Linked DNA regions of Caenorhabditis elegans. The protein of the gene in region 2 purifies or fractionates together with the protein of the main gene of each other region. This does not show direct contact. Each region holds a gene or a part of one and is shown on either strand. Other genes may lie near its edges.

The links.
Region 1: the proteins of nhr-162 (region 2) and ddx-52 fractionate together in Caenorhabditis elegans (co-fractionation; one large-scale study listed by BioGRID). This does not show direct contact.

The regions. Positions count from the first base shown.
Region 1 is NC_003279.8:8,596,637-8,600,393, forward strand, and holds the start of ddx-52 (putative ATP-dependent RNA helicase DDX52), read left to right. Parts: upstream 1-2,021; coding exon 2,022-2,223; intron 2,224-2,274; coding exon 2,275-2,384; intron 2,385-2,432; coding exon 2,433-2,637; intron 2,638-2,682; coding exon 2,683-2,822; intron 2,823-2,868; coding exon 2,869-3,023; intron 3,024-3,068; coding exon 3,069-3,227; intron 3,228-3,276; coding exon 3,277-3,757. Other genes in the region: paxt-1 (Partner of xrn-2 protein 1), read left to right, coding at 318-435, 484-581, 630-717, 766-896, 944-1,149, 1,530-1,789.
Region 2 is NC_003283.11:6,990,264-6,994,020, forward strand, and holds the start of nhr-162 (NR LBD domain-containing protein), read right to left. Parts: upstream 1,609-3,757; 5' UTR 1,599-1,608; coding exon 1,537-1,598; intron 1,492-1,536; coding exon 1,349-1,491; intron 1,144-1,348; coding exon 1,064-1,143; intron 1,021-1,063; coding exon 510-1,020; intron 241-509; coding exon 1-240.

The sequences.
Region 1 (3,757 bases), on a different chromosome or scaffold from region 2:
AGCTACCAATCATCGAAAAAAATTGGAGTTTTTCATTCCTTTTTGAGCTCTTTTTTCGAATGTTTCAGTTAAAATTGATAATATTTTCAACTAAATCAAGTGAATTTCTATATTTTGAACATAATTTTTAATGAGAAGTGTTGGAAAAACATGGCGCAATACGTCATTTTGTAGAATTACCACCCATGCCTGATTTGTTTTGATTTCAAATTTTATAGATTTAAAAAATTAATGTTTCTAAATTGTGTTCTGGAAAAAAAAACATTAGTTTTATAATATCACACTTGTACTATTTCTAAAACAATTTTCAATTCCAGAATCCAACTTCAATGCCTCTCACAATTATTCATTAATGTAACACTTCTCGGATGTGAATATTCTCAGACTTTAATGCAAAAGATTCGAACAATGGGTGCTGGAATTGCTGCTAACAAAGTAAGTGATCTTCATTATTTAAAAATATATTTCAAATTTAATATTCAGGATCGTACAAAAACTGGAAGTTACGTGAAGGCATCTGCAGCGAAAAAGCGACAAGCAGTGAAGACATCAGATTTAGAAGGAGCTTCTGATGAGTCTAAGTAAAAAAAACTTTTCAAAAATTGCAATTTTCAATCTTTTTGTTCCAGAAAAGTAAAAATGGAAAAGTCTCCATCGCCAGTAGCTCGTGAATCTTTTGATGAACGTCTTGGAAAACTCAAGGCATCTCTTGCAATGGTGAACATTTCAGATTTAACTTTTAATCTTTTAATCTTTTAATTTCAGACACCTCACCATCTAACGGGCGAACAAATGATGAAAACTGCCACGAATAGTTGTCTCATGAAGTGGCACGTGAACAAGATTAACCAGAAAATTGAAATAACTATCGATCGATATGTGGCCTTCAGACATACGTTTGTATAAAAATCTTCGAAACTATTTGAATTTCATGTTCTTTCAGATTCTCCCAATACTGTGTTGATCCAAGGGATTGTGCAATCAATACTCTAATTGAAAGCATTCTTTCGTGTGACGCCGCTGTTCACGAAGAAAGCTACGAAATTAGATTTGATGGAGTTCCGGTGGACGAGTGTTACGCTAAATCAGTCACCAGAAGACTTGCAAAAATTAAATCAGCAGTTTCTAATGGTGCACATACAGTTAAAGGCGAGCTTTTTTCATTTAAAAAAACAGTATCACTAAATTGAATGAAACATTTGGTCTCAAAAGTAAGGATTATAAAAGTTGGAACAATATCTCTTCAAAAATCATTTTAGAAGTGGGATTGTTGAATTTGATTGCAAGCTCGTTTTATCAATTTTCGGCTGTAAACCCATTTTTATTAGCGGCAACACGTTTAAAAATTTTAAAATATTGCTTCCGGTACTTATGGATGCCGTTCCCTGAAACAATTATTTTTAGAAAATATATTTGAAAATTGGAAGAAAAAAACTCGAAAGTTTGTTACAGTACTCAATCCGAACGGCAATTGGAAAACAAATAATTTTGCCTTCTTTTGAAAAAATGTATTTAGAAAACTTTTTCAGGTCTTACAACATATTTGGATGCAGTTAACATGTCAATGATTCAAAATACTCAAAAATTGGAAGGATGGTCTCAACAACTTGATCTCGTCACTGCCGATCTTCTTCTATCTTCTCGTGTTTTATCCAGCACTGAATGCACTAAACCAGCGATGGCAACGATCGCGAATCAAATGAGCGAAGACGTGTGTCAACTGATTCTCAACGATAAAATCAACGTCATTAACTCTATGAAATCTCACAGCTCTCTTGCATTCCAATAATCTCAATTAGCTTGATCTAGGGGAGCTTACTTTTTTTGCACTCGTGAATATAATTTCTATTGTTTTATTTATATTTGGCTTTGGTTTTTATACAACTACATCAAATTTCCTATGAATTTTACTGACTAATCGTTGCATTTTTACTCTAATTTTTTATAATGATGTTGAATCTCATCATTTTTACCTCTTTCGAAATGTTCACCCGAATCTGTATACCTATATGTGATTTCAGATGTCCTTGGCATTTAGAACCCTTTCGTTCGGTATTAAAAGATCACAACCGAAAAAGAAAGATGCCGATGATCTTAACAAAAAGAAAGAACTATCAACGATCACAGAAGAATCGCTTCGGAGATATGACGAACTTCGTGAAAAAATGATCGGAAAAGTCGAGTCAAAAATTGAGAAAAAAGTGAAGAAAAATAAAAAGAAAGGTTAATATTGTCTATTTAGTATAATACTTATAAACCATTTGTAATATTCAGCGTCGATTGAAATTCTTGCATCACGAAAGAGAGTACATGATTCTGACGGAGATTCTGAAAATGAAGTGGAGGAGACCGTTGGCGACGTGGAAAAGAGAATGCAGAAATTGGTGAGATTTCTACAGAAATTTAATTTTTATTTGAAAAAAAATCTTCAGCTCGACGACATTCGCCGTACCAATCGAATTTTCACTTGGGGTGATCATCTTCCTAATATTATTCTACGATTCTCCGATTCCAGCATGTCACCATCATTGCTCAATCGTCTATCTGAGAATTCAATCCGTCAACCATCACCAATTCAAATGCAATCAATTCCATTTATGACTGAGAGAAGAAATGTTCTTGCTAGTGCTCCCACAGGTAAAGACTTGAAAAGAGAAAAACTTCCAATTCCGGCTGTTCCAGGATCAGGAAAAACGTTGGCGTTTGCTCTTCCAGTCATCGATGAGATTCTCGAATTAAAGCAACGTGCTGATTATTCATCCTCTAACTCTTCGAAGCTGTTGGCAGTGGTACTCGAACCGACAAGAGAACTAGCAGCACAGGTTCTACAGAATTTATAGAATCGTAATCAAATTTAACGATTTTCAGACTTACACCGAATTTTTGAAATATTGCGCCAATACTTCGATCTCAGCTGCCAACTTCAGTGGAGAAGAAACTGATATTCAGCATGCAGATATCCTCGTGTCAACTCCAAATCGTATCGTTTTTCATTTGGATAAAATTGATACGTCTTCATTAAGGTTTGCATTTGAACCATTCCCTAAAAACTTTGTTCATTTTTTCAGATGGCTTGTCGTTGATGAATCCGATCGTTTGTTCGAGGTTGTTGAAGGCCAGGACAAGTGCTTCCGTAACCAACTCGCTGCAATTTACAAGGCTTGTGATGCCAAATGCACACGTGTCGCATTCTTCAGTGCCACATTTTCACATGAAGTTGAAAAATGGTACGTTTTCGAAGATTTGTCATATCAAAATTCCATATCTAAATTCCAGGTGTAAGGAGAATATCGATGAAATTGGTATGGTATGTGTTGGTGAACGAAACTCGTCTAATACAAGTGTGAAGCAAAAGTTAACCTATTGTGGAACTGAAGATGGAAAGAAAATCGCTATTCGAAATTTGTTGCGAACTTCCTTCAAACCACCAGCTCTAGTTTTTGTACAAAGCAAGGATCGTGCCGTGCAACTGGTGAAATTACTGTCTGCAATTGATTCAAATCTAAAAGTTGATTCAATCAACAGTGGAAAAAGTGATAAGGAAAGGGATGAAACGATGGAAAGGTTCCGTCGAGGAGAGATATGGGTTCTCGTTTGTACTGAATTACTTGGAAGAGGTCTTGACTTGTCTGATGTTGGATTGGTTATCAATTATGATTTGCCAACTTCAATTGTTAGCTACATTCATCGTGTTGGAAGAACTGGTCGTGCTGGAAAGAGTGGTCATGCTGTCACATACTTCACAGATGCTGATATG
Region 2 (3,757 bases):
TTTTCACTTGGAAAATTGTCCTGAAATCTTCGTGTAGTGTAACATTATTAAACCCGCAGATAAGCACTTCTTCTTGTATTTTTTCCTCGGCTTTTTCTAGCAACAACAAAGTATCCATTGTTTCCACAAAACGCATTTCGTCGCAATTGCTGTCAGTTTGGTATCCTTTTAGTTCTCGTTGAACCACTTTTCGCACATTTTGACACAACTTTACGCCTTCCTCACTGATATTTGTGTATGCTGAAATGTTAAACAATTTTTAGAGAATTAATCCACCCTTAAATATTTTGCAATTTTTTAAATTTTGCAGAAAAACTGTAATTTTTGAAAACTAAAAATTGAAATGACAAATCACGAACAAAACATTTTACTCTGCTTAATCCTCCGATTTGGATTTTTTTTTCAGACTCGCATCTTTGAACCAATCATCGGATAGGTAACAGTGATTTCATGTTTAAATATTGTTGTTGTAGATGTTTTGTAGCAATGTGTAGCAAATTAAAACCTACCATCATCAAAAAGTAGCAACAGAAAAATAGCCATGTACTCAATTTTGTCGAGTTTTTTGAAATGAATCGGAACAGCGGTCTCGTAATAATGGAAATCCCAGTATGGTTTGAATATTTTTAAAATTTCGTGATCCTTTAATCGTTTTTCTTTCGGCATCGATGATCCGTAAAAATGAAGTAACATATCCGTATAATCTTTAGATTTGATATAAGCCTTTGATTCTTCGTAATCTGGACAAATCGCTACAGCTGAATCCAACATCATCCATCGAGGAAAAAAATTGCAAAGAATTGAATGCTTATCAGCCTCACTCAAAAGTTTTACATCTGTAAATATTTTCTCTCCAAGATCCCATAAAAGATGCGTGTCTCGCTTGACGAAGCTTGAAAATTGTGTAAAGTTTATTTCGCAAATTTTCTCTCCGTATAAGTCTTTTCGCATCTTTTCAACTTTTGTCCATTTACTCACTGTACACGAGATATTTGAGCAATCACGAGGTACTATGCGAGCCTAGAATATATGGTTTATTGAAATTTTTAAAATAAAAACTTACTGATAACAAAGATATTGAAGAGATATGTCCAGGTAGACTAGATGTGGTAATTTTATTTTTCTCTCTGGATCCTTGCACTTCTGAAAAAATTTACTTGTCAGGCTCTCGGGAGCAACTATTGGAGAAACTGAAACACACAAACGTACACTAGAGTTGAAAGTGAAAGAGTAAAAATACAAGCTATTGGAAACGCTATGATGCATTTTTGAAAAGAGGTAGCTATTTACGACTTTTTTTTCGATATTTCGTATATCATATTTAAACATTTCATCCATAAAAACTTACTACACTTTACCATTCCCGTTGCCATACATTTCAGCATCCGACAGTGTCTGCAGGGATGTGAAGTTGCCAACCGGTGCTTACACGTACATGAAATGTCCAACTTCCTTGAGTGTACATATCGTCTGAAAAATGCTGCGCATGCTCTGAAAAATTATCGATTTTTATTTTCAATTGAATACAACGCTCACCTACATGAAATTCCTCCGAAATGGGGCTCCGGTCCTTCTGCCCCGCACACCTGGCACAGCATCTGAAAATTGCAATTTTATTTTAAAATTATATTTATTGCATAAAAAAGAAACCATTATAGTTTGAATTTATGAATAAATACAGACGAATTGGTTGGTGTTTTATAGAACATTTCGAGATTTAAACAGAAATCTGTAGATCAAATTACTTGGTCTAGACTTGTGATTACTAGAATCATTAAAGAGGAAGTACATCTATAACAGCCGAATAAAAGCTGAAAAGCACATGCTGATCAGGCTCAGCACGTCCATTGCATTGACACACCCATGGCTGTCCATCGCACGCACCGACCGTGAAAAATGGAAAGAGTTTGTCCGCAGTTGCCTCGCAACTTGAACCCAACGGACATCAAAGTAAAGTATCAAAGTAAGTACCAAAGTACACACAATGTTCTTGCACTGTGCGTTGGGAGCAGGATTATTAGTAGCAGGCTTAAAATTATTAACCGCAGTGATACGGAAAACTTGTCAAAATTTAGAGTTTTCATAGCTAAAATTAGACTTTTTAAAAGTTTTGGAACTTAAAACATTTTTATTCTCGAAACAATTTCGATCATCTATAAAAACTATAAAACTATAAAACTATTATTTACAAATAATTTACAAAACTATTAGGAGAGTGCAATATAAATAGCAACATTCTAATATGGAGAATACGGTATCTAGTGAACTTTCAAAAAATAATATAGTTCAAAAATTTCCACCACAGACAGATTTAAAGATATAAAGATACCCCTGAGGACTCGCCGCTGGGCCGCTCAAGGTGAGAACGGCCGAGTGACGTACTGACATGGTTGTCAAATGGGCAAAGACAAAGGTCTCTCCCGTTCCACAATTATGGGATACCATACAGCTGTGTAACTAAACGTCGCAGCTTGCGAGAAACGTACCAATTGTAAGCTTTCAACTATACTATGGTTTTCTGTTTGTTGGGAGCATGTTTGATGCACAAAAAGTTTTACTGTGGATATCCACAAAAGTTAGCAAATGTTGAAAAAATGTCAAAGTTCAATCCAATGTAAATGGAAACTTTTTCAATTGAACTCGGAAGTGACTTTTTAAACTTTTTCACCATATCAATGATATCATTTTCAAAATGGGCGTTTTCATGTTTTTAAGTCATAGAAAAAGCCAGATAATAGTTTTACAGGGCTTTTTCGTTTATCAAAAACGAATTTTCTGCACTCTTGAACTATTAATATGTTAGTAATAATAAAAATGTTAACGGATATGGTAAATTTAAAATTGAACGTCAGAAAATTTAATCGAAATTTTCCAATCTTGCTATTGTCTTTTTTCAAGCCTAGATTAAATCACAAATGATATTGAGTTGAAATTTGAAAAATGAAATGGTCTATGAACATCTGTTCTGATTTTTTGGTACTCAGTGGGACTACTCATAAAATTGGAAAATTGGAAACAACTTCTTGAAAAAAACATTCAAATCGCTAATTGGGAAATGTCCTACCAATTTCAAGGTGACGAGTCATTGTCGTGAAACAACCCAAAATCGATAAATTGGAAATTGGTATTTGAGGTCAAGATTGCAAGTAAAGTAAGGTTCAAGTAAAAAACGCAACAAAAAACAATACAATCTTTAATATATAAACCCTTTCTTCTCTATTAATAAACACTAAGAAAAACTTAAGAAAAAAATCTGAGAACTTTCTGAGAACTTACAAAGAATTCAATTTGTTTCACTGTGATATCTTATCAGTATGTGGTTTATGCCGCCAAAAATAAGTTTATTCGTGTCAGTATGTAATTTAGTAAAGTGTTATGTTTTTATTTTCAAAACTATAATGTAGAGTTTTCAAGTTGACAGAGAATTTAAGATTTCTACGTTTACAAAAATGCGCACATGTCTTGAAGGTGACCGAGAATTTACAAACTCAAGCACCAATCACTACAAAAGGCATATAGTAGGCACGGTAGGCACAAAAGCCCAAAAAAATGCTTAACTATTTTAGAAGCTCTGAGAAAAGGTTTGCATCTTTCATTTCCTTTTTCATAGCAAAATATTGAACTGGTGAACTTTACGAACAGGTTTTGCAAAAAGTCACGTGAATTCGGCAAACGATGTTCCTCGAAAACATAGGATTAACGAATTTTGTTTACTATATTTTCAAGAGATTTTAATTACTAATTACCAAAAAACTCG